4 linked regions of the Medicago truncatula genome follow. The main gene of each other region encodes a partner of the protein of the gene in region 3 in a complex. Links are inferred from orthologs where the notes say so. Each region holds a gene or a part of one and is shown on either strand. Other genes may lie near its edges.

Evidence for each region.
Region 1: mediator of RNA polymerase II transcription subunit 13 (region 3) and mediator of RNA polymerase II transcription subunit 30 share a complex: the UniProt entries of both Arabidopsis thaliana proteins name them as parts of the mediator complex. The link is inferred for Medicago truncatula from reciprocal best matches to the Arabidopsis thaliana genes GCT and AT5G63480.
Region 2: mediator of RNA polymerase II transcription subunit 13 (region 3) and mediator of RNA polymerase II transcription subunit 17 share a complex: the UniProt entries of both Arabidopsis thaliana proteins name them as parts of the mediator complex. The link is inferred for Medicago truncatula from reciprocal best matches to the Arabidopsis thaliana genes GCT and AT5G20170.
Region 4: mediator of RNA polymerase II transcription subunit 13 (region 3) and mediator of RNA polymerase II transcription subunit 32 share a complex: the UniProt entries of both Arabidopsis thaliana proteins name them as parts of the mediator complex. The link is inferred for Medicago truncatula from reciprocal best matches to the Arabidopsis thaliana genes GCT and MED32.

The regions. Positions count from the first base shown.
Region 1 is NC_053044.1:48,895,112-48,902,803, reverse strand, and holds the start of mediator of RNA polymerase II transcription subunit 30, read left to right. Parts: upstream 1-4,371; 5' UTR 4,372-4,443; coding exon 4,444-4,794; intron 4,795-7,615; coding exon 7,616-7,692. Other genes in the region: thylakoid lumenal 17.9 kDa protein, chloroplastic, read right to left, coding at 955-1,175, 2,024-2,093, 2,179-2,293, 2,381-2,625. UniProt on the Arabidopsis thaliana protein: Component of the Mediator complex, a coactivator involved in the regulated transcription of nearly all RNA polymerase II-dependent genes.
Region 2 is NC_053045.1:55,066,129-55,074,145, forward strand, and holds the start of mediator of RNA polymerase II transcription subunit 17, read left to right. Parts: upstream 1-4,576; 5' UTR 4,577-4,786; intron 4,787-6,461; 5' UTR 6,462-6,562; coding exon 6,563-6,657; intron 6,658-6,817; coding exon 6,818-7,013; intron 7,014-7,551; coding exon 7,552-7,665; intron 7,666-7,936; coding exon 7,937-8,017. UniProt on the Arabidopsis thaliana protein: Component of the Mediator complex, a coactivator involved in the regulated transcription of nearly all RNA polymerase II-dependent genes.
Region 3 is NC_053044.1:41,139,907-41,148,074, forward strand, and holds the start of mediator of RNA polymerase II transcription subunit 13, read right to left. Parts: upstream 3,262-8,168; 5' UTR 3,108-3,261; exon of another isoform or gene 2,983-3,107; 5' UTR 2,942-2,982; coding exon 2,918-2,941; intron 1,517-2,917; coding exon 1,443-1,516; intron 1,361-1,442; coding exon 1,221-1,360; intron 1,084-1,220; coding exon 997-1,083; intron 773-996; coding exon 685-772; intron 608-684; coding exon 527-607; intron 1-526. Other genes in the region: elongation factor P, read left to right, coding at 5,643-5,840, 5,921-5,951, 6,074-6,087, 6,200-6,250, 7,801-7,870. UniProt on the Arabidopsis thaliana protein: Component of the Mediator complex, a coactivator involved in the regulated transcription of nearly all RNA polymerase II-dependent genes.
Region 4 is NC_053044.1:57,777,020-57,783,945, reverse strand, and holds mediator of RNA polymerase II transcription subunit 32, read right to left. Parts: upstream 1,998-6,926; 5' UTR 1,837-1,997; intron 1,616-1,836; 5' UTR 1,588-1,615; coding exon 1,141-1,587; 3' UTR 750-1,140; downstream 1-749. Other genes in the region: BURP domain-containing protein 9, read left to right, coding at 1-208; phosphatidylinositol 4-kinase alpha 1, read left to right, coding at 4,834-5,826, 6,163-6,504, 6,635-6,799. UniProt on the Arabidopsis thaliana protein: Component of the Mediator complex, a coactivator involved in the regulated transcription of nearly all RNA polymerase II-dependent genes.

The sequences.
Region 1 (7,692 bases), about 7.8 Mb from region 3:
CACCACTAGATCATCTTAAGTGGAAAACTAGAAAAATATTACACTTCAAATTTTATCAATTGTGAGAAGGAAGGGAAAGAAAATATTTAAAATTTGTTTAGTTGATTTTTGCAAAAGGAAGGGGAGGAGAGCAAACTTTTCTCCATTCATCATTCTAGCTACTTGTACCAACCTTGAATATTGATCAATCATAAACAGATTTAAAATATGTGAGGGAACAAGTTGAAGTACCATTTTGTGATGATCCTTACACACAATTGTGGCTACACCACTCCCACTTCAACCTCAAGCATCTACCAATACTGGATTTGGAGAAAGAACAACTAAAGGAATGTGGTCAAATCCAAGTTTTTTGATGCTGTGACGTGATCTTGATAATTGTTTTCTAAGATGAACAATGGATAAGGCACATAACTGACAACCTACTGCTAGTCCTATGTAAAGTATGTTTTGGGGAGATGATTTTTGAAGCATGATTCATAATGTTCATGAAATAATACTTGAACAATAATTCTCAACCAACCTTAATATTTTCCTAAAAAAACTTGGCAATAAGGTGTATTAAGGTTATAGCTTACAAGTCACAATAGACAGGTTATTTTTTCATCTTATTCTAAAAAAGAAGTAGCCTTAATAACTTCAAGTCAAAACAGGAAAGAGCAATTGGAAATGCTAAACAATGAATAAGTAGTAGGTTGAAATAAAAAATAGCTCGGACTAAGATAATCATCGAACGGTTAGGCTAAGTTAAATGCGGCAAAAGCTAACACAAACATCCTTAGAAACTGCTATCAAACAAAATATTTATAAAATTGTTTATAATAACAAGCATTAAGCTTAGCCGCAAAACAACAAAGGCCATGAAATTGTATATAATAAGGAAGAATGTAATAATAAAGGCATTCAGCTATACACAAACCAAAGAATTAAAGCAACATAAAATAGAAACATTAACTACTCCATGGAATCAAAACTGGGAGCATACCAGCCCAATTGATCATTAATTTGCTTGAGTCTTGCTTCTTGACCCTTTGAATCTCCAAATGCAGTAGTGAAAGGGTATATATAAGTCACTTTTGCTGCCATACACCTAAAGGCAACCACATCACCTTTCACCAGAAACTCAAGTACGTCTCTATCAAATTTTCCATCAACTTCAGCTTGCAGATACTGTCCTGTATATTCATTTTAGCATAAATCAAGTTTTGCCTAGTAGCTTGTAAAACCAATGTTTTAATTAACTGAACCATACATCAAATCAGAGAGACCTATAGGTCATGGTTCAACAACTTTAAACAGCTCAGATATAGACGAAACTGCAATCGGATCGTTCAAATAACCTAACTGTAGACAGTGCTGATTCACGATTCAAGCAATTGAACTGTCTAGTTTGGTTCAGTTTTTAAAACATTGTGTAAAACAATTAACCCTTCCTTATTGTCTTTGGCCTGACCTAGATAAAATCATTTATAACGTAATACATAAAATATATTACAACTTTCCTTGTTCATCACTAGAGTCTAAGAATAAACCATCAATTTATTTCTTAAATTATCACACTCTCTTCAATTTAGTCCTGAAAACGTATAAAAATTATAAGTATTGAAGTTGAATTCGAATCCCACATTGACAGTGTTCCTAAGTTGTGCAATGTGCTGTGTGCATATGTGTCTGTGCACCTTCATCTTACCAGCTAATTTTTGAGAGTGAGATTCAAGCTCATTTGACAAGGCTTCAAATCTGAATTTTGTAGGGCATGTGGAAAACGAACCTAGGCATTGTATATAAGTAGTGCTTGGACTCCCTCATTTGATGAGCTAGCTTTTGGAGTCCATTTAACAATAGTCCCTAAAATATATAAAATTCGTCATCTTAGTCCCTCAATTGATGGTTCTTTTTCTTATACTTCAATATTATTTAATTATCATGTTCTACATTTTCATTGCTAATTGGCTACAATTTCTAGCAAATAACAACAACACCAATGGTAAATTGATCAAAAACAGAACTGTGTTTGAATTACCATCTGGGGTATCTTCCACGGGCTGAAATTTCACATTTTTCTGAGTCTCTAGAATTGCTTCACGTAGTCTCTGAAAAAGAAAATTATGAACAATCACAACATGAGATAATAAAAATACACAATGCTTTTTGAACTCTGAGTAATAGCTTAGAAACCTGAATAGCATTATCCACTGAATTTTCAGGAACCGTCCAAGGAAAATCAAAAGATGATGACTTCGGGTTTGTTGATATGCAACCAGGATTTATTGATGGGCAAGGTCTAATTTTTCTGCAAGAGAAAGGTTACAAATAATATTATATAGAATCCATGGTATTAATTATGAAGCATATATTATATAGAATCCGTTAAGCATACCCATTTTCTAATCCAAGTTGCAAGTTTTTTGATTGAGAAAAAGGGGTGGTACTAAGAGTGGTTGGAGGGGGTTGAGAATTGAGGGAAGGGATTGCATGAGAAGGTAGTGGAGATGTTAATGTTACAGCAATGGCTAGAGAGAAGAGATTTGGTAGGAACTTTTGTTTATTATCAGAATTGAGTTTGGGAATGGTGTTAGTGTGAGTTTGAGGAAGAGGATGGAGAAGACGAAGTATCAAACTCATGATTTTTATGGAGTCTTCTATCCACTCACTGCATCATGTTTTTGCTCCATTCTTTTTCAGCCATAGGTGACGATTGTTCTGTTGAAATGTTGATCCTTTCTGAAAGGCTGTTATTGTTCACCACATAACAAAAGAAAAATATAATGTATAAGGTCTAGGATTTGTCAAAACAATGTAGTTAGAAAGAGAGATCTTAATAAAGATGGTTAATTAAGTTCTTCCACGAAAATTAAAGACTATGACTCCAATAGTATAATTACAAAAGTGAAAGATCTCAATTGTCATTTTTTAGTTTGATTAAAATAAAATGTAGTTGATGGTATCCATAAATTTCAAAACAAACACTTATAAGAGCTTTCCTATATACTACGAGAGATATATCGTGAAGACATCACGATAAGATACATATCAATCATAATATATTGTTTTGCGCAAAACACGATGTTTGGGTGCAATACAAGTGAGTAAATACATGCAGTACTCTTTTCGTGAAAATTTTGCTTGAATTATGTCGCGATAAATAACATTTAGAACTATATATTTGTCCTTCAATCCAAAGAGAAAGGTAAGCAGAGTATAATTGTGTATCATTCCTACTATTTGAGGAGGTATACGTAATGGAAGGGATAAATCTTTGAGGAGTCGGATCATTCAGTATCGAGGTTGTAACGTTGGTAGCAATCCCTTCCATCCTTGCTTCTTGTCTTTGTCTTCGTATTAAAAGTCGCTACTTGCTGGTTGTTGCAGAGACGATGATCCTCTAACTAGGTCAAACATCTAATGGATTGGACTTAGGCTCGATGCCTAACAAATCATGGCAATCAAATTCCATCCCCGATTGTCATGCTTTGAATCATATTCCACCTTGTTTCATCCTATGTTGCCTCGCTTTGAATCATATTCCACCTTGTTTCATCCCTCGTTGCCTCGCTTTGAATCATACTCCACCTCGTATTGTTGAAACTATTATAAATGTGGACAATCATATATTTCTTATTATCTCGTCTTATTACATTAAACCATTTTTCCCTTACAAGTCTTATATTTGGGGGATTGTGGATTGTCATAAAAATATTCCCATTTTGACCCATGCTTGCTTCATGCTCTTTGTACTCGACCCATACCCATATGATAATCCTCATATTTGACCATACTACTACTATCTTGAGAGCTCTCTTACTCAGTCAAACCACTTTGATCCTTTGACATGATATTAATTGCGTAGTGGAGTGATTTCTAGAAGATCCCTAAATAATAAGAGAGGAAGTTAGGGTGACAACTCCTATAAATAAAGTCCAACTACTCATAATTGAAATCTACATCCTTCACTATCTCTACAAACTTGGGGTTTTTATCACGATACACTATTGACAAGATCTTACCTCATAAAGAAAATGAAATGTCACAACTCTCTTTTCTTATACAACATTTTTGTCCGAAAAAGTTTAGAAAAATAGTTCAAGTTGATCTCACCGCAAATCATTTGGGTTAATTGAGATTCAACATATACATTATAACTTATATTTTTATAATTTTTCAAATCTATTATTCATTTTAATAATAATCATAGTTGTAAATATATACTTATATTTAATCGTAATAGACAAAACAGTCGATATGTCCGAGTGGTTAAGGAGACAGACTTGAAATCTGTTGGGCTTCGCCCGCGCAGGTTCGAACCCTGCTGTCGACGTTTTCTTTTTTCATCTCATTTTTAATTTTTTCCGCCATGCTTTTGTTTTTTCTACTCATTGATAACGATCAAAGTTAGGGTTTGCAATTCCTGAGACTCATAAGATAGATAAACTTCGCATTGGAATGGAAGAACAATCCATAAACGGCACAATGTCAACCAAAACGACACAAGATTTAGCAATTGAAGGTCACAAATACTTAGAAGAAACCATACAACATGCTTTCAAGATACTATCTTCCATGAACGACGAGCTTTGCAATCCCGTTTGGTGGTCCACTTCTCCTTCCTCTGCTACCTCTCCCAATGCTCCTTCTTCAAACGGTGACGCCAATTCCGAGAATTCCGGCCAACACGCTGACGGCGCTGCTCCCAGTGGTGGTGCTGGTGGAGCTCTTGATGAAGCTCGTTTGAGGTATAAAGATGCTGTTGCTGGACTTCGGAGTGTTCTTGCCGCTATTCCCAATTCTCAGAAGGTGCAATTTCGAATCCCTAGTTTTCTAATTCGGGTTTTATTGTGTGTTCTTTTTGTTACTAGATCTAGATTTTTTGAATCATTGAACTTTAGGTTAGTGGAAAATCAATGAATTGGCAAGTCCAAAACTTAATTTTTAAACTCTTTTCTGCAGCAATAAGAGTTGCCAAGTTCATTGTAAAGATTGTATTCCTAATCTTATTTTTTCTTAAGTAACTATTCATCGATGCGACACACAGATTACCTTTTGCTATATATAGGAGAGAGAATCAAGTGAGAACTCATGCTTCTCTTGCACAAGCTCTAAATAACAGCCGCTCAATCGAAATTAATGGTCTGATCTCATTAAAATGTCACGCGTCTCCATATTCTCATCCCCTACCTTCATCCTCGCTTGACATATGCGCTCATCTTTCTTTGATGCAGCTACAATGAATTGCTTAATCAAATTTCAAAATGTAATTTGATTCTAATCTTTTCTAAAAATATTGTTTCCAGGCCAAGTAAAAAAATTAGGAAATCACAAAAATAGTTGAGACTAAACAAAAACAAAGATGCCACAGTCTTGTATCAATGAAAAGCTCGTGGTTATAATCATTTAATTCAATTAAATAAAAGGTGGAAAAAAATTGTAGGGTAGTCTTAGCGTTGATAGGTAATGGATAGAATTATGCAATGCCACTCATGAGAGACCATCGATTAGAGCATACAATACCGTGTTCATATGACAGAGTGGATAGTATTGTTCAGGTTAATGAACAAAGGGGAAAGATTGAAGATCACTACATTTTTTTTAATCCTAAACATTGATTTTGAATCTTTGATTAAACAGCTACTATTGATGGTTCATATGTATCACAATAAATATAGGTTATCACTTAATATGCTCCCTTTTTTTGGCACACACTTAATATACTTGTTCTTATTTTGTTTTCTATTTTATAATATTTAGATAGGAAACCATAAAAACAATTCAGTACGTCTTTCAAATTTTTTTCCGAATATTTCAAAATAGGAAAGGGAATGAAAGCAATGTGACATTTTTTGTAATTATTGATAAAAATTGGAAATTCGTAAATCACACAGGTCCTTTAGTGGTCACTGTGACTAGGCCATGCTTTGGCATATTCTTTGCGATTGATGTTGTGAGTCAGTTTCATAAGTTCATAACTCTCCTAGTGGTGATATCTGGGATGCAATTATCTGAATTTTGTGATACTTTAAGGTCTCTCCCAGGAAGGATTTAGTATTAGTATATCACAGGCAATGTTCATAAAATTACAGTCGTGTATAACGTTGTTGACTGGGATGGATCTCCCAATCAAGTAGAACATAGTTGCCAACTCATGTGGTGAACTGGAGTATTGAGTCATAACTCGCTCTACGTTAGAACTTTTATAAATAGAACAACTCCAATATGAAATGTGATTTATGTTAATTGTTGAAATTTGGGGCCTAACTCATCCTTAAAAAACCGGCTTGTATTAGTATTAGTATATATCACAGGCAATGTTCATAAAATTACAGTCGTGTATAACGTTGTTGACTGGGATGGATCTCCCAATCAAGTAGAACATAGTTGCCAACTCATGTGCTCAACTGGAGTATTGAGTCATAACTCGCTCTACGTTTGAACTTTTATAAATAGAACAACTCCAATATGAAATGTGATTTATGTTAATTGTTGAAATTTGGGGCCTAACTCATCCTTAAAAAACCGGCTTGTAAGGTGAAGAGTGCCTCCTCTTTATAAACTCTTCTCAAGAGGGCTATCTATCCAATGTGGGACTAAATCCACCCCCTCAAAGCCAACACAATGAAGGTGTTGGAGGCTGCAATGAAGGCTAACCAAAGGTCGCAATTTAGGCGACTAGGGGCGGACCGCAATTAAGGCGGAATTTCCAACATTAATCTGTGATGATCTACCAACACCTCATATTGCTTCAAATCTGGCTTTCCGTACGATATTAGGATGAGCTAATAGAAAAGGACAGCAGGAGGTATTAGGATGAGTTTCTTCACCTTGAGTGAAAATCTGAAAATACTTCAGATTCAGAGTTCATCACCTTGAGAGGAAATCTGAAAATACTTCAGTTTCAGAGTTCGGAGATATAAATTGAAATCTTAGAAATGAAGTACGACTACATGATGGTATTTTTTTCTACATATGCACAAGGGCTTTAAATTTATACCACAGATAAGTTTAACACATGATATTCCGGTAATAGCGTAACATGATGAAAAATTTGAAAACTCCTATTTATAGAACCTTATAATGTTGCAGCACCGATTGGAGCATTGAGTGGGCTAACGAATGAATTTTGCTTTTTGACTTTGACTATGTTTTATTACTTAAACTGCTTAAATTCAATAAGTAACTAGCTATAGTTTTGTTCTCTGAATTTTTAGCTAATGAATTGTGAGTTTCAATTCCTTTAGATATCTTTCTGGCTTGGTAAGAGACAATAAAAATCTCTTTACACCAAGGTTTGGTTTGATGTCTTTTTAAAATGGGGTTGAAAATCTTAACAGCGACTAAATGAAAAACTTCATGAGACTGTGGTAAATTACTAAATAAATTCCGAACTCACTATTTTTATATTATTGCACCTCTATTATACTGCTAGGAAAAAGATGCTGCATTAAAAGAAAATTCTATTCAGAAATCAGTGTCTTCCTTACATAGACTTAAGACTCCATATTCTGTTAAATGATCGGGGTTATTGACTCACAAACGTGCATCTTATTGCGAGCTGTATGACCATCATATTAGCTAGCAAAGCTTTTGTTTTCCTGTTAAACTAACTTGGTTAGTATTATAGGCAAACACATTTGACGGTGGTTCAGCTGACAGCCCTATGGACGAAGCTGAAATTGAGAAATTGGAAGAGCAAGCCTC
Region 2 (8,017 bases), on a different chromosome or scaffold from region 3:
GTTATCATAACAATGCATTTGATGTGTTTGATAAAATGAATGAATGAAGAAATATTGTTTAGTTTTTGGTAAATTTTTCCTTAAATGATGTTTGTGTTGATAAAAGTAACAAGCACTTCCAATCCAAAGGTAATAAACTACACATATATACAACAGTGATAAGAGCGTATGTACAAGAAGCAAAATATTTCGCTGCACATATATTTTAAAGTGTTGACACCATTGTTGAAGTCTCAAATGATCTTTATATGCATGCTCAGTGATAGATTTTTGGCAAGTGTACCAAAAGTATCGAAGTAGTAAAAATATCGTTCCCACAAGGACTGATTTTAATCTCAATAATTCAATTACGTTGTAAATTAGGATGTATAAATGTTCTTTTAGTTTGCCACTAGGCAGTTGATTGGGTTGTTTGCATAAGTAATAACAGAAAATAAAGATTGGTTTTAAGAATAAAAGAGAGATGAGATTAGGTCTTTTGAATCATCGATGTTCCCCTAATTGGTATACTGCACCTATTTGTATTAATGATTCTCTAATTCAACGATAGTTAACAAAATAGCTCTAATCAATCCCTTGAGTTAGGACCCTCTTCTCAAACTACAGCCCCTAATTCCTTAGGTGGACTAATAATCTTTGAATGTTTTAAAAACGTTAACCTAATATCACTAACAAACGATTATCCATTCCTAGATTAACCATGTTTATTAGAACAATTCAATTAGGTCTAAATCGAAAGTTATGGTCAGTAGTCATTCGTTCTCACTAAATCATGTTTATATTTGATCATAATATAAAAAGCATTAAGAACAATTAAATTGAATAAAAACTAGATTGTCATTAATAATAAATAGAGTTTCACAGCAACATGGATCAATTAGGGTTACAAGGATTCATCTCAGACCTAATCTTTAAGAGATTTAGCTACTCATAATTGAGTTTACAAATAGCATAATCAATGGAAGAATTAAAACATACATAAACTGGATTAGAGATGATGAAATCGCCCCTTATGCAGTCTTCTGGGTGTTAAAATCGTACTTTAGCTCTCCAAAATCGTCACCCTTATGTTTGGAACTGACTTCAGCTTAAATAGGCAAATCTGGATGCGCGCAAAATCGCGTTACGGTTGGCAAAATCGCACCACGATTTCTTCAAAACCCTAAATTCCTTCCAGATCCTTCCTTAAAATCGTAGCGCGCTGCTCAAAATCGTACCACGATTTCAGCAGTTCGAAAACATGCCTCTCTGGTCAAAAATCGCATCACGGTAGTGAAAATCGTGACACGATTTGTTGCTTTCAGTTCTTCTAAAATCTTTGCTTTTAACACCCTTGAATACTCCATATTGCACAGAACTCTAACAAAATTGTCAAAATAAATCCTAAAAATTACGTAATGACAGCATGTCATCACTCAGTGTTGTCAATTGATGATGTTTAAGCCTGCAAGGGAGATTTTTATTTCCCTACGAGGTTCAGAGGAGAAAAGGTTGAATTGACTTAAGCATGCAGTTGATAACCCATTGCCATTCATGAATATGTAACTTGGAACCTGTGTGACTAGGAAGTAAGCTAGAAAGTACTATGAATTAAGAAGTAATCTAGGAAGTACTAGTAACTATGAAGCACTGTTATATTATTTAGTCTTTAATGTTGTAATGTTCCATTATCTTTAAATTAAGAAGTAATCTAGGAAGTACTAGTAACTATCAAGTACTGTTATGTTTTGCCTTTTAATTAGGAAGTAATCTAAGAAGTGCTAGTAACTATGAAGTACTATTATGAAGTACTAGTAACTTATGTAATGTTTCTATACCTTAATGAAGGCTTATGTTGTGTGATAATTATGCTTGTATTTTTTGTTCACTTATGTTGTTCACCCATCCTCCATAAGCTCTATTTCAGTTTTAACTGGTTATGTATAAGCTCTATTTTTTGGTTCAATTTTAACTGGTATTTTGGCTCTGATTTGCTGGTTTTCTTGTTCAGTTCTTACCACCCTTTTGGTTCAGTTTTACTGGTTTTTTCAAAGCAGTTTTTACCACCTCTTACTTAGGACTCATTGAATGCATTAGACTGAGTGTTTATGTTTCAAAGCATGTTTCTTATGACTGTAGATTGTGTGACATTCAAAGCATGTTTCTTGTGACAGTAGATTGTGTGACATTATGATTTCTTATTGTTCTAACATGTGGGTTGCACTTATTTACATTGCAAAGGGACCGCATGCATACCCCAAAAAAATATCACAACCACCCAAAGCAAACAAGCAAGCACCCAGGCTGAAAGCTGATGCATCAGCGCCCCAAACAGAAACAGAACCATAGCAAAAAATTATGCTGTCATCCCTCTGATACAACACCAAAAGCGCAGTTGCTACAGCAGCTCCAAACCCAGAAATCAAGGACACAATCACGACCGGATAGGTGGCCTACTAAGACACTCATTGTGTTTCTACACTTAAAAACAATATCTATTGAGATGCAATTCCATGATTTCTGATTGTCATACACAACTTTATTAGAAGGAATGCTGATATGGATGTTGATTTCAATCGATATGAGGATGAAGACATAACCCTTGATCACGATGATTATCGTAGATCAGTTAATTTGGATTTATCTCAAAATTTAAATATAGCTTCTTCATCTGAGATGAATCATGTTCGAGATCAAATTATAGAGTTCAGGAAAAATAATTAGTATTGTATTAATGTTTCAAACTTGTACCACACTTTATATTATATTTTCTATTTGTAATTTTAATTGAGTACTTCATGTTTAACGTATATTCCCTGCATGTATTTTTATTTGGATACTGTCTGATTAACAAGTTATGTTAATCTTTCCCTAAAAAAATAAATTTATGTTAAGCTTATAATTTTATTGTCAATTTAATAAAAAAAAAAATAGATGAAAAAACTAAACAAATGTCAAATTTTATAACTATATACACAGACACATGTTAAAGCCCATTTTGATCTTTTACACATCTAAAAGCAATTCTGACACAAAACATCCAAACAACATTTTTCATACAAAGCACTTCTGTTTTGAAGGTAACCAAACATAAATTACTTTACGTTCAACTCACTTTTAACCAAAATCAATTCTATCAAAATCAATTTTTTCCACCGCACAACCAAACACACGCTGAATGGAGTACGATCAAAGGGAAGAAAAAAATAATTTAATTTTACGCTACAATTCAAAAAAATTAATATTATGGTTTTTCTTAATATTATGGTTGTAGGATCCACTATCAACCTTTTGTGTGCATCTCTCTCCATTTGTTAAAATAAATGGAGAAGATCCTTCTCCCATTTGGCGAGCATTGTGGCATGAAATTGAGATAATTTGGGGTGATAGAGTCATAAACCTTGTGGTGTAGAGGGACTTTAAAGTTATAATTGACATAATTATACATTAGATTACGGATGATCACAAAGTCATAATTAATTGAATTACACATGAGATTACTATTACACATGAGATTACTGACGATCACACATTGCCAACCTTAGTCTTCGAGTGTTAGTGAAAATGGATTGACACGTCAAATTCAACCATATTTGCAAGAGAAAGTATTATGTACATCGTCGACCTGCAAACTTTGATCTCAATTTAAAGAATACTCCCTCCGTCCCATAATAACTAAGCCATTTGCATAAAAATATTGCCCCAAAAAAAATTGACCCATTTCACTTTTCGGTACAACAATAATTACTTTTTTCCAATTATAATTCAAATTAATACTACTTTAATCACTCTCAATTCAATATATTCTACTTTGCGTTTATGATAAGAAGGAATGCACCGATACTTAACAAGACACTCAAAACTATTTCTCTATCTTTCACTTATACACTTTTTCTTAATATGTGTGAAATGAACAAAATACTCAGTTAAAAGGGGACGGAGAGAGTATGAATTTACTCATCTTGAGATGAGTTGAAGTCTTGAAGATCTTCTTAGTTGGTGATACATTTTTACTAGGATTAACCATTAGGGCATCTTTGGCCTTCTTTTATATCAAAAAAATAAAATAAGGGTTAAATATGTTTTTTCAACTATAAATATATCAAATTTTCTTTTTGGCTCCTCTAAAAAATTTCTTCAACTTTTAGTACACCAAAAGTTTTTCATCACTAGTTCACCACTTTTAATCTCTCTTTTTAAGTTAACTCATATGTAGACTTCATATTTTTAATGAAATTTTACGTTACTGAAGTATAATATTATAATAATCTCTCCAAACTAAATAGATTTTTAATAAAACATGAATGAAATATAAATTTTAATATTTTGAACACTTAAAAATTCATATTTAATTAATATTTTATTAAAAAATTCTAATTTTTTTGAGGTGATTGTTATTATAATATTATAGTAGACATTTTTGCATAATTTCATTCAAAAATATAAAAACTACATATTAGTTGATTTAAAAGTATGGATCAAAACAAGTGATGAAAAATTTTCAAGGTGCTAAAAGTGAAAGGGAATTTTTAAATAAATTAAAACGAAAAACTAATATATTGATAGTTGAAAAAAAAAGAAACATATTTTACCTAAAAAAATAATAATTTGTCGTCTAAATTCTCAAGTTCTGGGTTTCTTCTTTCTTCCCTCGTTGCAATAGCGAAGACCCTGAAATTGAAAAGCAGCGGGTTTCAGTGACATGTTTGATTTCAATTATCTCGTTGCATACTAAACAATTACACTAAATCCTTAACTTCCATTGTTACGAAACGCACACATCTCGTCTCACTCACAGCTCTCCAAGGTATGTGTGCCTTTCTCTCTGCTTCGATTTCTTCTATGATTCCCACAGTTGATTCGTTTTCTTGTTCACCATTATGTGTGTTTTATTGGTTTTTGTTTTCTGGGTTTCTAGTTTGTTACCACAAATTCTTATCATTGCTCATCAATTCAAGTACTTTTATTCTTTATTTGTTTGCCCACCAAATGTTTGACACAAATACTCACACAACCTATAGTCTTCTGAAGTGCTTGAATTATCAGTTTGTGTTCATGATTCCATCACATTGCATCTAATTTATTCAACTAGAGTTATAATCTATGTTTACATGGCAAGATGATGGGCATTTATTGGATGACGGTGTAAACTATTTTACACAGTTGATGCACTTCCATTAAACTTGTCATTTTTTGCCCTTCTTGTTTGTTCTAATTTTTCACAAATTGACTTATTTGGGGGAGCCAAATCTGCTTTTATATTGCGGCGGGACATTTTGCAGTATTTTGCGGCACAGTCCATCGTTGTAACTTTGCGGTGGTTAAGTAAAACAGTCGTGTTAACCGCTGCAAACAATAAGCAGCGGCAGTTGTGCAAGAACCGCTGCAATCCTTTTGTTGTAATCAAACGATTTTATTATAGTAGTGTCAGTAAGCAACTGTGGAAAAACTACAATTTTAAAAGGGGGGGTAAAAGAAAAAATAGAACGTATTAGAACAAACAAATAATAAACCATCAATTTTGTCCCTGAACTATCACCTTATCTTCAAAGAGACACTACCCTCCACCCCTGTTTGGGGTAGGGATCGAAGTCTCGACCTCCTTTTCATTCCACTCCTTAACATACACACCCCTACCACCAAGTCAACCTTATAAACCCAACTTAATGATTCTTCACTGCTTAATTCCCCCACCTCAACCACCAAACCAACTTTATATCTTCCAATTTCACTCCTTTGTGATATTTTCCATTTGTATAAACTGCTTGAAATATGTGAATACTTATCTTATTCTAATTTTAGGAGTACCTGCTGTTTTGGTTACTCCTTAAGTATTTGACAAAAGTGCTGAATTTCATTTTGAATTGCTTAACCATTTTATTTGCACCCGAGGCTAATTTTTGTTAATGCTTGGTATGGAGACTGATCTATGTTTTGGAAATTTATAAATACTTTGATGTCAGTGGTACTTGGTGCTTGGTGTGGCAATCCTTTGTGGATGGTTGGACTGGTGTGTTTACTCTGATTCCAGTTTTCTGTGATGTGAAAATGCTGTTTGCGGAAACCATTGTCTTTCTTTGGATTTTATTTTAATCAATTGCTAGCGTTGTTCTCTTCTTGCATGACTGGTCGCCATTGTCAAGTGTTAATAGGCATTAAAAATTGATTCACTGGATTTAAACTTGTACGTGCATTTGCATGCTGATTGATTATAACATATTCACTGGTTAATTGCTAACAGGTTGTCAAATATTTTATTACCTGTAAGAAAATATTCAAATTATATATTCAACGGATAATTTGGTGGCTAATTTACCCTAAATTTTTATTTTATTTTAAATGCTTGTAAGTGTAATTATCTATTGATTGCATAAACATGTTAAAAAGTAAATAAAATTCTTGTTTTCAAACTCTGTAAAGATTTACTTTTCTAATTATTTCTATTGTTTGATTATAAGTTTTTGAACTATTTTATTATTCACTTAGGCTTGGACTTAAAGCTACTGTCTGGTCTCACCCACATTTTCTTGCGGGCACGGAAGGTTTTGTGGAATTTTTTCGGGCAAACAAACTTTTCCAAAAGATGGAAGAGGGCATGGAGTTGCAACTATCCCTTGACAAGCTGCCGATCAAGCGCTTGGATTCCATTGAAGAAAATGGAAATGAACGATTCCCTTTGTAAGCTTCTTCCTCTCCTCCTTTTTATTTCTCAACTAGTATTGAGAACCTGTGCAACGCTCGGGGAAAAATCCTAGAGTTATGCTATCTCTCATAAGAATGTTGAACCCTAATTTCTATTTGTGCTTGGCTTTTTGTAACTCCCTCCGTATTGTTGCAGAGATGTGGATTACGATGAAAAGCGAGTTTCTCTAATCAGGAGAATTGACTTCGCTTGGGCCATTGAGAAGGACGAGGAAAAGAAGAAGCAGAAGAAGAGCTCAAAGGAGACAACACCATGGCAATGGCAGGGCATGGTGGAGAATTTGCAGTTGGCTCATCAGGAGCTCTCTGTTATCATAGATTTCATCAACACTGTGAGTCGCACATGTTTCTTTCTACAATGAATCACCGCTTTTTATGATTTCATCTACATTCAGAAATCTTCATGTCAAGTTCAAATTTCTCTCTGCATATCTGTTTGCAACAATGAAGATAATTGCTTGAAGTTATTTGGTTTCTGAAAAAGGTCTGTAAAAAAGCTCCATTTTTATTTTATCTTTTATAAAAGCTCCATTTGGAACTTGCTCTAAAAGAAAAGAAACAGTGTGTGGCTTAAGAAAATTATGTTTGTGTCATTCATCCAGGGATGAAATTAAGTGTTGAGAAAATGTCTATGAATGTCAACTTACAATGCTTTGAGAAGTAGCAGTTCCGGGTTCATCAAGAAATGTATCACTTCATATAGTCTTGATGAATCTATTTGCAAATGACCAAGTTTTTGGCATTATGAGTAGAAACCATGCTTTAGATATTTTTCAAGATTTTTTTTCCTATGGCCCAGTTCATTATATTGCATGATATGTGCAGACCGACAATAAAGGTATGTTGTTTTGTTGAAATTATTCTGCTTAGGTGGAAACCAACGATGCAGTAACTGTGGCTAGCATGACAAGGCCAAAATCATTACCAAATGAAGCTTTGTCCGACCTTGCTGTATCTGCAGCCACCAAGCTTCAATGCTACCGTGTAAGTACTCTTCTATCTTCTTTTGTAGTTAATTTTTTTAAAAAAAATTACTGTAGTTTGTTTCCAGTTTATTTATGTCCGTAACATTAAGTAAGTTCCCTTTTCGCTGAATTTATAGCTTGTTTGCTCAAACTAAAAAAATAAAACTGAAAACATGGAGCATATTGAGTCTCTAATAACTTGTCCTTGAGTGACAAGCACAATTTGTATGACTTTTATGGGGGACCTGTAATATGCAATAACGTTTTTGTACAAACATTCTTCTGTGCAGCAAGTTGGGAAATATTTCAAGCAATCTGCCAAGGCTTTTGAACAGCAGGTTGCTCGGGAAGCTAGGTTTTATGGTGCCCTT
Region 3 (8,168 bases):
GAAGAAGACACCACGTGACTTTTTAAGTGAGTGAATATGAGACGTTAGATTAAGAGAAATCAACAGCTATTATTTGGTGTCAATATAAACATTAACACCTGGTGTCAATGCATCCTGACTCAACTACTTATTATAAAATAACTTATTACATTTTTAACGGGAACACATCATTTGTTGCTCTTTAACAAGTTAATATTTTTTTTATTCAGATCATTGCTGGCTGCCCACAATGTTCCCCACTGACAACGTGAGAATAATCTCCGCTTGCCCGGGGACAAAGTAAAGGCTAGCTAACACTTTTTTTTTCTGTACTGTTGATTGCAATCAGATTTCGTTATTATTAGCTTTCGTAGTTCCCTTAGATAGTCGGTAACTGATTTGATTCCAAAATTATAGGATAATGTTTCCTTTTCAGATTATATTTCACTTGTTATATGTGTGTGTGTACATAACCCTGTAAATATTAGTGAAATATTTAGATTTAATTTAGCCAAAAGTGTTAAATCTAAGTACAGTAAAAATATACCTGAGCAGTTCTTCACTTTGAAATTGATGGACCTTCAAGAATACATCTCCAAATCTCATGTAATAAAGCCCAAGCAGTGCTCTGCCAAATTCAACAAGATAAATGGCAAGATATGACCAAATTTAACATCACTTTGAAGAATTGAGGGGGAGAAAAACCTTTCAATGCAATTCCTTAAAGCCTGAGAGAGAGCGGCTGCAACTTCTTCTGAATCCCCAGGAGCGAGCCAGAGCCCAGACGCGACAGCTTCATCCAAAAAACTTTCCCGTGTAAGAGTGTTTTCAAAAAACACAGAAGTATAAAAGCTACAAAGCCACTATCTTTGACGAAAGAAATGTATACTGTAACATCCCGGTATCTATAAATGGGATTGTTATATTATTAAATATTTGTTGTATATTGTTTGAACTTTATTATTTAACGGGGTATTACATATATGCCCAATACAACAGTTCTGTTAAGTGTGATACCTCGTAATCCAGTTAAAGCTGGCTGAGCAGTTTCAGAAACTGTTAAATGACGCCCCGGAAGAAAAAGCCACAGCTTAATCTTTTCATCTGCATGTTAAGTACAGAAAGCAGAAATTTAGGTAGCAAGAAAATGGATGACCATTTCCGTTCTTTCCTTTTGCTAAAAAGACAATAAAACTGTAAATAATCACAGATGACAAAACCAATAAGTCAGCAATCTCTACCAGGATTATGCAAACCCTGAGATGGATCCCACGGTCCAACAAAAGAATTGGTCCATGCGCTGAGAAATCCTTCCTTCTGCAGTTGCAAATGTGATGAAAGCACCACTAACATTGCAGCATCCTTCTGGTCCGCTTTTACACTGTTTGAACAGAAGATGGCCCATAAATAATATTAAAATAGTGAAGCAGAAAGAAGGAGAGAAATAGAAAATATATTCCAACCTTTTGTCAGGTAGAGGGTTCAGATCAGGTTCGTGAGGGAGAAACTGAAACCATGATATCTGATGCAGACTACCCTGTACAAATTTCAAACAATATACACATAGTTATATAAATATAAACAATATACACATAGTTATATAAATATAAAGACAACCAAATAAATTGTGAACAAAAATGGAGGAGCATGGAATATACATTAATTTATGGTAAAAGCTAACTAAACAGCAGCATTGAGATTTAACCTTTTGCACTCATTTCTAAAAATGATATTATTCTTGGAGAAGGAGATTTGACCTTGAGATCTTTCATTAGACTAACAGACAATTTTTCTTCTATTTTATATATCCTAGTGCTGTCAATCGCAGAACGATGAAATAGCGGTTTGTTCAAACTCTGTTATGCTATACCACTATTTGATAGTGCTTTTTACTAAATCGCATATCGGGTAACAATAGTAGATTGTTAAAATTCCGCTGCGCTATAGTGTCACAATTAAATCGCATATAGCGTAACAATTGTAGTTTGTTAAAATTCCACTACGCAATAGATCCACTATTTGAGAACAATATTATGAAACCAGGTGGGCCAAGACGAAGGTTGATATCGATCCACAACATTAATTGACATGATCGAGCAAGTAAACAATATTTTTGTCATCATCCTAGCATTAATACGAGCCGATACTTTATTGTTCTACTAATGTATTTACTATTTATTTTAAAAAAATAAAAAATAACAGTCGGATAGGACACGTGTCGCCTCCTAGTAATTTGGTCACCCGCCGAACACCTTTCTTGCCATATCCGTGTTATTTATTACACACGGCTTTTCATTGCCACTAATACCGATCAAAAAGAAAAGGAAACATCTTATACATAAGACGAGTTCTTGATCAGGCAATTCACATACCAGCTAGGGTGATATAGCTAACTCGCAGTTTCATTAACATAATCCAACAGGACCAATACCAAACGTGATTATGAAGGCGACAGAAAGTCACAATCATCAGTGTTCCAGCCCATGGCAACCAAATATCGAATGACGTAGTTACTTAGCGAATACGTAATCTCTAGTAAACCCTAACAACGCTTGATCGGGGAAAAAAATCATAATTCCAGTATATGATGAAATAGAAAGAAAAAAGCAAGTAACATAATCAAATAAGTTTTTCATTTGTATAAAACATATATCTACAAGAAAAATTTAAACATTCACAAACCAAATCTAACTAAAACAACACAAACACCTTGTGTGAAAATAAACATGAGATAATTTACAAAGTTTTCGGTTCATAAACAAATTAACCGACTTAATCATCATGAGATTAACTACAGCTGAAAAAATGAAAGCATGTTTTGTGATATACTAACTAGGTTAAAACGAAATTGAACCCTAAACTATCATATTCCAGCTAAACACGCAAAATAATGAGAATTGGTGAAGAAGAGTATTGAGATTAAGAAGAAATAACGTACGATTTTGAAAACGTTGGTCCACATAGCTGATGAACGGTTCCGGTGAATTGAATAGGGTTTTGGATCTGCGTTAGGGTTGGGTGAGACTTATGAAGCGTAAACGTGCTTCTGCTCTAGAAAAGCGAAACGGAAAATGCGAATTCGGAATCTGATTCAGAAAATGTAACACTGAGTTTGATTTGATACTTACTTCGCTTACCGTTTAAACTGAAAAGCGATTACGAAAATCGCTTCATTCAGCATTCCCGCAAAGATCACTCGAGTGTAGGGTTTTTTTTTTGTTTTCTCGATAGAGTTGAAATTTGTGACCGCGCTTAACTTAGTTCCAGTATTCATGACAGAGTTAAGAGTTGTTGGTGTTTATATATAGCATTGAATTAGACTCAAGGTATTTTTTGGACAATGTTACTTTTTATCGGTGTCAAAAAAAAAAAATACTAGTATTTGTATATCGTGTATTTATTCATAATTGTTGTTGACACATTGTATAAAGTTGTGTCACACGAATAATTTACTGAAATGTTCATCGGCAGTTAAGTGTCGAATTATGGAACCGATTGCAGTTAATTATCATTTTTAACCGTACGATAATATGTTAATTGTTATGTTAATATTTTTTCTTGTTAAAACTTGAACCTTTAACAATTTAACTTTTTTAATCTTTTAGCTCAAACCAGTTTAACTAGTCAACGATCTTTTGTTTAATTGGTGCGTAAAATCTTTTAACTTTTAGTGTTTTTTCAAAAATAAAACAAAGATAAACTAACTAAAATGACGCAGCAATTGATTGTCGGGTCAAGAGCTTTATAGTTTGAGTGATGATTTGTGTCACTTACAAATAAGAAAGAAAATTGATGTAGCGTGTGTGTTTTTTTTTTGTATGGTGAGTGTTTTGTTACAACGATTGTTTTTTTTTAGGATTGCAACGATTCGTTAAATAATAAATTATAAATAACTTTATAAAAGGAAGAAGTCATTGAGGATTCATGTAAAAGAGATAACCACAATCTCATTGAGTATCAATAAAAAAATAACAACGACGACTAAAATATGGTTAAGTGGCTCGTTGACTCAATAAAAGATGGTGGGAACATACCAAAACACCCTTGAGGCTTTCAAACAAACGTGAAATTGCAAAAATACCCTTTAAATCTTTCATCTTCCTATTATCCTCCCTCTCCCTTATTCCCCCGTCATCCACCACCACTTAAATCAAACTCAAATCTCTGCTCCTCTTCTCAAAGTCACAGACACATATCTCAAGTTAATGATTCTCCTTTCTTCCTCCTTTGAAGCCTTCTTCCTTCCTCCTTTAAAGCTTTGTTATTCTCCTCATCTTCCACCATCCATTTTGGCACCTCCAACATTTTACCATCAAAGGGTCGTCGTCCCCCCTTCCACCACCAGTTTCGACGCCTCAAACATAATAGTCCTCGGAACCCAGTTAAGAAGAAGCTTGCAGAATCTGGACCCACCATCGATTCTTAACCTCATCGCAGCTTAACACCACCGTGTCGGTGACTAAGTTTCGATTTCCTACCAATTTAGAACTCACCCCATAATTTCCTCACTCATTTCAATTTTATGTTCTTTAAACAAACTATTTGCTTCTTCTTGCCTTGGATTGGGAAAAAATGTAAATTGAAACCGAAAATGGATAACAAGATATATATATATATATATATATATATAGAGAGAGAGAGAGAGAGAGAGAGAGTTCAATTAAATTCATGCAATTGGTGTTTTGATTTTGAGATGATGAAGGCATGGTTGGAAAATTTCAACCACCGTGCTATATGAGTGTTTTTTAGATGATTTTGACAATTAGTTTCTTGTTAGTGGATTTGTAACAAAAAAATTGGATAGTGTTTTTGGTAATTGGCTTGGTGTTGTATGAATCAATATATATGTCCCTTCTTACGTTCTCACACACGATCTCATATATGACTGTTCATCTTATAAAAAATGCATACAATTGTTGACTTTATTGGCAACGTTGTAGGGTTTACGATATTTTTTTTTCTTCCTATAAATATGTTGTTCATTCTCTAAACGATTTGATTCATTTCATTACACAACCACACATTTATCTTTAAGAAGTTCTTCTTATGTTGTTGCGACAGATTGTTGGGGATCAAGTTCCCTGCTTTGAAATTTGTTATGTCTGCAAACCATGACCTTCCACTGATAGCGAATAACTGTTCATTTGGGAACTCTGCTACAATAGTTTTGTCTTTCGTGGTCAACTCTTTATTTTCCAACCTCGAGAGGTGATCCACCACTACATTCTCTGCTCACTTCTTATCTCGAATTTCCAAGTCAAACTCTTGCAATAAGAGTATTCATCCTAACAACGGGGGTTTTGAATCCACTTTAGTCAACAAAAATATTTAAGAGCCGGATGACATGTAAAAACAATAATAACCTTGAAAATAATTAGATAAGATGCTGTGACATGCGACAATAATGTGACATAATGACTAAAGCATGATCAAAATAAGTTAGAGTATTAGTTTATTACAAACCTGAAATTTAGAGAATTTGAATGCGACAAAAATAACATCAATCTTATTACAAACTTCAAACTTAAATCACAGTTTAGACCGTTAGCTCAATCACAAAATTGTCATAATATTCATATTCCATCGATCTGTTAAGAAGTGCGTGCGTGCGTACTTGGTACCCAGGGTTTTTGTGTTATTCCGGCGCGAGCTCGAGTGAGAAAATGCAAGCTGCAATGAAGCAGAAACTGAAACTCCTCTACAATTCCAACTTCAAATCTCTCTTTACACTCTCATCATTCAAATTTCATTCTTATTCCTCTCCGCTAAACTCATTACCACATTCTTCCACCGCCACCAACTCCTTCACCACTCCATGGTCCATCATTCAACGACGTGGAAACAAAATCGTTGGTTCTGATGTACGCATCGCATCACCTTCACCTTTCACTGTTTTTAAATCTTTACCGATTCTTATACTTTTTTACATTTTTCACTGCAGATCAGAGTCGGAAAAAAGATCGGAAAACAAGGTTACTTTGCTTTTTCTATTATCATTCAATTGAAATTTCGTATTTGATTGTTCATTTGATCAATTTCTTACGCGTATTTAGTTATTTTCTTCTTACTCACAAATTTTATGGCTTAATTCCAGGGCGCATTTACGAGGTAATAATTCATTTCTTGACGAGTTGTTATCAGTTTCTATTCATTCATTCAATGTTGTTATTGAAGACTTTTTTTTTTTTATTTTTTATTTTTATATTGTGAACTTGTTCAGGTTCTTAAAGTAGATCATTCTCATGAAGGACGAGGAAAAGCCACACTGAAGGTTTTTTTTCTTTCTTTTTTCTATTCAAGATTTTACATGTTCCCAATCATTATTTATCAGCTCACAGATGTTATCTGCTGCCTGTTTGGATTGACCTATCATGATAAGTGCTTACGTATAAGTTCACATAAGCTATTTCTATAGCAAAAGATAAAATAAAGAAATTGTTTTTGTATATGCTATAGGTTGTTTTTATGAGTATATCAGAGCACTTATGAAAATAAGTTGAAAAAAGCTTTGAAAATTGTCATAAGCTGTTTTCTTAAGTTCTCCCATACAGTATCACAGAACCTATTTCAGTAAATAAGCTCAAATAAGCTAATCCAACCTTTATTTGAGGTTATCTATTGACATAAACACCTGTTTTCAGCTCTCTACAAAATAGCTTATGAAAATAGTTTATAGCTTATATGAAAATAATTTAACTTTACTTTATCTTTTGTTATAAAAATAGCTTATCATAAGCGCTAAGTTGCAAATTAAGCCGTATATTCAAACGGGGCCTTGGTTTTTCATCCATTACTATTAGAGTTTGAAATGTAATGCTGTGATGTGTGCATAAATGTACATTGCCTTTAATACAAAATTAGCCAAGTGAATACTGAATATTAACGTGCAAGTTATATTTTAAAAGAATTATTACTATTTTATATATTTACGATGGCTTTTATTTGACCTATGAGAGGCCTTTTTGCCATAAATTTAAAGGAAAAATGTATTTTCTTATTTTCTGCATTTTATTTCAGGTAAAATACTTGCAGGGGCACGGCCTCTCATGTTTTAAAATATTTCCTTTTTTCATTAACATATTTGGTTATTGTGTGTGTGCGTTGTAACAAGACACTGACTTGGTATTTTGGCCATTTGCTCTCTGAGTCTTTGAATTTATATCTTTGGTAATTGCTCTCTCTATCGGTAAATCTGTGCCTTCTGCGCTGCATACTTGACACATAGAACCAACTTCTTGTTGCAAAATATGCCATGCTAGATTTTGTAATCCACCTCTCCCTTTGGTAGGAAAGTTTTAGTTGTAGATTACTAGATTTACTGGCTTGACCGAAATGGCGAAATGTTAGAGATGTATTTTTGCAACACATGATTCATAGGAAAACAGTTTTCCATGAAGCAGTCTTATTGAAGGATTAGGATCAACTAATAACTGATGAATACACAATTTTTCGTACCTTTAACATAGATATTGATACATGATCTCAAAGGATTATATTGTTTAATTTGATCAAGTAATGATTTTTTTAAGAGAGTGTTGATTTAGGTTTTATTCTAACTTACCAGTCTTATTTGTGTTTAACATGGTATTATCCAAAAATAGGCTTTGTGATATTTGGACAGTGGCATTTGTCAATCCATTTTAATTTGCCAACTGTGGAACGGCAAATGATTAAATGCAATCTCATTTTGCTTGGTTTGTCCAACTGCCTATGCATATTTATGCTATTGGTATTGGATATAGTTGTTTATTGTAACTTATAACTTGTAGACTCTCAACTCCATGCATAACTGACAATTGTAGCTCTTTCTGATGATGATAGGTGGAACTTCTTGACATTATCCAGGGAACCAAGGTATCACAAAGAATTGCCACTGATGATGAGTTCGAAAGTATGTCCCTGCATTCATTTACAAATTTATCAACAGCATAACATCATGTATTTTGTGTATCGGTGTTGAGATTTTTTATTTAGTTCTTGATAATATGGCCAGGATTCTTTAATTTGTTTAGGTTGAGTCATTCTTCCTAGGGAAACAAAAAACAGAAGACATATTATTGGGTCACTAATAGTAGTTAGTTAGAATAGTTATGAAGTGAAGTGGTTGGGCAGTTAAGACTGCTGGGTTTAGAAATTTAGATTAAATAACAGGAGAGTGGGGAAGAAAGGATGGTAGATTTGTTAGTTTG
Region 4 (6,926 bases), about 17 Mb from region 3:
CAGTAGGATCTTCAAAGTTCTTCTAAGGGGTCAATATGGAGACATGATGGATGCTTTGGGCATTTGCCACCTAGACACGTCTGACATGAATCCTAATCATTTTATATTTCAACTACTTGGAATGAAGCCTGGGGAAGCTCCACTGTGTCATTTCTTCCCTGTAAAGCACATTGTATGGGCGCCACTCCCACCAGAGGCCACCAACTGAACAAGAGGGAACTAGTTTGTATCTTTGTTAATCGGTGTCTGTGTCGTTCCCAATACTTTTCATGTTGTTGTGAATTTCTCAGTACTGTAAGGTCTTGTTTCTGTGTACTAAATAAGGTATTGTTTGTGTACTAAATAAGGTTTTGTTGGTCTACTAAATAAGGTCTGTGTAATAAATAATAAATAATTGTGTATAAAAATAAACCTTGGTTTGAAGTTTGAACTGTTTAGGAATGAGTTGGCGTCCCTTTAGTCTTTCAAATTTAGGTGGTTGTTCAATCATGAAAATGACATTAAAATAATAATCTCTATATAGACCATGAGATTATTGAAAGACTAAGCTGAAGACATATTCTCATGGGGGTTAAAAATTTTGAATGGCAAATACACACACAGACACACAATTAGATACACACACACACACACTAAAAAGAAGCATACTTATAAATCACACAATCAAGATGATTCTCACAAATCGGAATATGGTGCTTCATATGCCTCAATTGCAAACCTACAAAATCAAAGTTTGAAATTCTACAAACTACAAACCCAATTTACCTAATTTTACCCTCGTCTTACAGGGCACAGAAACACAGGATCACAAGGAAATGGGTAAACCTTACATAATTGTGCATATGGTATTAATAAAAGGGTGGGTCAAACCTAATCTTACACTAATCCATCTTCAGTTACAAAAGGGTGGCACGGTATCTTTGTGGGATATAAAACAATAAAACACCAAAGCATCACTAACTGAAAACTTAGAAGTGTTGCATCATGCACTGTGCACATAAGTTACATCCTTTAACATACAGCTACTAAACAGGTAGAAAAACGGCAAAAGCAGTAAAGTCGGGTGCATTTTGAGCGGTGAAAATATAAAATCCAAGACATTATTAATAATATTAATAATCTCATACAGTTAGGTAAATGCTACTGAGCAGCATCTTCAGAAAACCTGGCATCAAAAGGGGCCGAGGGATGTGAAAGAGCTGAACTAGAAGAACCAGCAGGTCCTCCAGAGCCATGCTGCAATTCAATCACAAGCCACCGAACCGCTTTACTCATCTGTTCCAAGCGAACTGCGCTGATTGGTGGAAGACCCGTCATGGTAGCTTGTCCAGGTTTCCCTGCCACATGCCCTGTAGCCTCATCCACTAAACACTCTGATCCAATCCTTTGCTTCACAGACTCCACATACTCCTCGGCTTGATCACACGCTACTCTAAACAATTCCCACTTTTGCTTAAAGCTTTCGAGAGCAGTGTCTGTTGCAATGTTTTTAAGGGCAGTGGAAGTTTCTCTTGCTTCCAGCACAGTTGCTGCTGCAGCAATAAAATCTAGATAGGCACTATTTAGAGAATCAACCACACTGTCCATTAATCCTGTTTATTTTGATGTTAAACACCTATGAAACACACAAAAGGGCAGATAAATCATGTGAACACTAAAAATTATCATCAAGACCAAATTACGATATCAAAATTAACAATACAGAATCTAGGATATCAATCACGCCGCTAGAGCGCGCAATCGCTAGAGAGTGGAGATCTGCTGCGACGCAACTCTAAGAAATAACGCTGCAAGAGAAGGAAATGAAAATTGGGAGAAGGAAAAAAAAAAACTTACGGTGGATTTTGTCTTCTAACTGGTGATAGACTCCGGCTGCGATCCCGGGCAGATTTTGATTAAAACAGGCAGTTTAAGTTAGTGCGACGGCAGCCAATATGACAATGGGTGGGTCTCTTCAAAAATTGATGTGGATTGGCGATTATAATCTCATCTCAATTTTTTTTTAGAGCAATGATATTATTTGACAACTTTGTTTTTCTCTCTTCTTATTGGTCAAAAATAATGGAGAGAAAAAAAAGAAGAGAGGATAAGACGGTCATGTGAGTATAAGTGAGGAAGTTGTACAAAAGGGGAGTGGTTATGGTGCATAAGGAAATCCTTATGCACCGTGCATAAATCCCAACATAATTGCTTCCTACACCTCCAATGTGAGCCAAACCATTTTTGTTCAAAATAAAAGAAATATGATGGTTGTGATGTGTTTATGCACGGTGCATAAGGAAATAACTTATGCACCATAACTTTTGCCGTACAAAAGTTGTCACAAATTGATCATTTCTCTTTTTTTTACTTACCATTTTTTGAACAGATATTATCGTCTATAGTTGTTTGTGACAAAATGTTTGTTTTTTTAATAGAATAAAACCACATTCATTCATTCAAATCAATAGTACATCGGAATACCATTCTTCGGATTTGAAACATTGACGTTCAAATCTTTGATTGAATAATCAAAACACCGCAATAAGACGACAAATCAAACATGATCGCACAAGACGACGAAATACACATCACCACACTCAGGTGACAAAATCACGAAGAAAAAATTAGATCTACGTGAAAAATCACTCATTTAGATTGAAATGGAGAGAAAAATATTAAGATAAATGATTTTAGAAGGAAAAACCAGGAACAACATGTTGGATAGAGAACTTAAAAAAAAAATTGTAATAAATAGGCATGGGCGGTTCTATGGCCCGGCGACCTCGGGTTCCGGCCCAATTTTTTTCAATTTCTTATCTAAATCCTTATGAATATAAATTGGACAATTTATTTAGATTTTTTGATTATTTGTTTGCCACTAAGTTGTTAATTTTTTTGACAAAATGTCATATCTATAGTAGTATAATTAAATAATACAGTTTTTTTAAATAATTAAATAATATAATAGATGATAATACTTCCCAAAATAAAACTATCATATGCATTCACGGATCTAGTGTGGGGACAATGGGGTCAAGCGACCCCACTTGCCTCCACATGTGTATTGTATTTTTAACCCAAAATTATATATATAGTTTGACCCCTCTTTATATAGTATTATTGTTTTTACATAGTCTATTTATTACATTATAAAAAATTACAAAACTAAGAAGGATCCTAACGAGTGTTACAAGAGCACTAGTTAGTAAATCAAAAGAAGTAGTTTTTTTTTTTTTTATAAAAAGTTGTTATAATTATTATATCGATACAAATAATGTTTATCTTTAAGATAAAATTTTCTTTTACGAAATCTTTAACCAATTATCTCAAAGCATATCGTTGGCAAGACCATACAACTACTATTATAATATAAACTATTCTTATATTTGTTAAAAAAATGTTGTGATTGACGCTACGTTGGTGGTCAAAAATAATTAATTATGGTTATATTTTTTATACTCCGCTAGAACTTGACAAATATTTTTAAAAAATCAACATTTTAGGGCAATTATATATATAACTTGTATAACTTTCACACGCTTACACATTTATAAAGTTTTATATAAATTTTTATGATATAACTTGACCCCACTTATTAAAATTTATGGATTTGTCACTGATCATATCAAACTTTTAAGAAATTACAAATCAAATTTAAATTAGGTTACAATACAATCAAAAAAGTTTGATTCCTATATAGCCAAGTGGGTTAACACTCGAGCTACCTAGGCATAACTTCTCTCAACATGACTTAAAAGATTTTTTTTGTTTTTTTGTTTTTTTTTGTAAATCAGATATCCTCTACTCACAACTTGGGAGGTTAATCCCTCAGTGATCATCAACTCTTTCCAAGAGTTTGAACGTTTTTGCTTGCCCATGCCGGATTCAAATTCATGACATTAGTTAAGCTGCAAGATATTTGTGTCATCTCATTTAAGTGTTCTTAGATTAAGAAATATCGGTGAATTGTTGTTTATGTTTCTTCCAATGTTTCTTGTCCATCGGGTACAACGTGGGTATCACTATTTGCCTTGGTACAATTGTGTTGTGGGCTCCTCCGATTTTTTTATCTTCTCAGTCTCATCCTCATGCTAGTAGTAGCTCTACACAAAATGTTGCATATTTGTTGATACTCGATAACACTTCAAAAAATGTTCTTAACGTTGCTCATAATATGTATTTCGATTCCTTCAAAACATTGTGTATTCTAAGACAATTTATGGAATAACTATCTAAAAAATTATCTTTTTGCTTATAAATGTGACGAGGGAGAGTTTAAATTTAAATTTAAAAAAAAAATACATTCCAAAGGCCCTAGGACGTATTTTGATCTTTAGCTATTTATTTATATTTATTTCGATGAAATCTAGTTGAGAATATAGATAAAAAGTCATTATCATTATTTATTGTAGTGACAAAGAAAAAACGAATGCCTTCAAAACATGAAAAATGAATTCACCAACCAAAAATAATTATGAAATGAACACCATGTATTCCCACGCGTGAGAAACTGAAAACGGATGCCGTATCGCTGAGGCACAAGACACACGCCGTGGCCCACTGACCCCACCCCCAATTCTAGTTCAAATTAGACAAATCCAAAACCCGAATCTAAAATTATCGCAAACCCAAAAGGAAAAAGAAAAAAAAAGAATTAAAAATATAAAAAGAAAAAGTAAAAAAGAAAGAGAAAAAGAGAAAAGAAAGCATTAACCATGGCATGGAAACTGCAACGACGAGAAGAAGAGTAACAATGTTGGTACGTGGTTAGAGAGAGAATCGAACGCCACGATCTCTTCTGAAATCTCAACATTCTCTCATTTTTCGTTTGAATTTTCACCCTAATTCGTGATGGAAGCGTTGATCGAATTATGCGACCTCATTGCACAAAATCCATCGCAATTCTCCGATAAACTCTCGTGGATTTGCGATAAATGTCCACCGCCGGAGTATCTTTCCGCCGGATCGCCTAGGGTTTCACGTTCTCAGCTCAATGCCGTTACCGCCGTCGCTCGTTTCTTATCTAACTGCGTAGATTCCACCGATCTACGACCTAAATCAGTCGCAATCGAGTTCCTCCGTTCAATTCCGCATTCCTTTACTCACTCCTTTTGGCCTCAACCGTTCAACGCCGATTTCGTTGCATCTTTCTTCAACGATTTCATTGGTTATGTTTCCAAAGCTGCACAATCTTCGTCGGATTTCGCGGACGAGGTTGCTGGATTCACCGGTGAAGTTGTGTTATCCGCGATTGCGGAACAGGATTCTGTTATTGCTAGGGCTTTTTTGATGGCTGTGTCGCAGAATTTTCTTCCTATTTCGTCTTCCGATGGAAATAAATTGGTTACTTGTTTGATTGAACAATATGCGGCACAGATTGCTGTGGCTGTTCCTAGCGCGCCCGGGGAGCAAAATGCCGGAAATTCCGATAATTTTTCTGCTCAGAGCTCGCCTCTGAGTGGAAATCATCAATCTCAGACCAATTATAACGGTAGTCTGACTAGTAATTCGAGTGGAGCGGCTTCTAAGGCTGCTGGTGATGATGCCACTGCTAGCACCGCTTCATCGAGAGGTTCGGTTATGGCAAATGGGGGAAGTCATATATGGAGGAGTAATGCCGATCAATTGGCGCAAAATTTAGGTTTAAATGATGGTGGTGGATGCTCTTCTGGGCAACAGGTTACGTCCTTTGAGGAAGAGTCTGTGGACTTTTTGGAGAGACAAGAAATTGCATTTAAATTGATTGCTCATGTGTTGGAAAAGGTTCATGTTGATCCTGCGCTTTTGGAGCAGGCTAGGTTGATTGGGAAGAAGCAGATTCAGTCTATGTCTGCTTTTCTAAAGGTAATCATTTTTTCTTACAATGCCTTCAGTTTGTATTTATTTTCTCTGTTATGATTCGTCATGGTTTATGCACCGTTGAATGTGGATAGTGGAGTGAGGTTAAAATTTAAACTAGTGTTGTCAATTACGCATTGTTAAAATTCCGTGCTATGCGATAGTGCTATATCGCCACTATAGAGGCTATTTGATAACATTTTGTACTAAATAGCTTATTGGGGAACAATAGCAGTTTGTCCAAATACCGCTATGCTATAGCGGTATAGTGCCACTATAGTGGTTAAAGTTTAGGTTTATTTGAGGAGTGAGACATGTTTTAATGTCTGGAAGTTCTTGCAGATAAGGAAGAGGGATTGGCATGAGCAGGGGTCAAGTCTAAAAGCTAGAATTAATACCAAATTGTCAGTTTATAAAGCTGCAGTTTCTATGAAAATCAAGAGCCTCTCGGCATTGGGTTCTGATTCGAGATCCGTCAAGAGATTGGTTTATGAGGCAGTTGCGATACTGATAGATGCAGCCGAGGCGTGCTTGCTATCTGGATGGAGGAAGTTGAGAACATGTGAAGAGCTCTTTGGTTCCTTGCTTCTTGGGGTAGCACAAATTGCCATTGCCCGAGGAGGTCAGCCGTTGCGGATTTTGCTCATTCGCCTAAAACCAATTGTGCTCAACGTTTGTGCTCAGGTGCACTTTGGTTACTTTTCAATATCATATTTCCATAAACATTTTGTTTTCAAACTTGCATTCCAATTGACATATAACTTCATGAAATTTGCTTTGCTTGTTTTTTAAATTCTTTTGAAATGTTACTTAGCAGCCTGAAACATGGAGTAGTAACCAGGGGACCATGTTCGAGAGTGTCACAAAGGCCAGCTGTCAGATTATCGAATCCTGCTGGACTAAGGAGCGAGCCCCTGTAGACACGTACATAATGGGGTTAGCTACAAGCATACGTGAACGGAATGATTATGGGGAACAGGTTTGTGTACTAATTTTTTGTGCATCCATGAGGCAGAAACTGATAATAAATAAAAATATATTTGAGTGTGTCCATATTGTACTGTCTTTTTTTCTTCTTTCTGTGTGCGCGTACATATCTATCTATA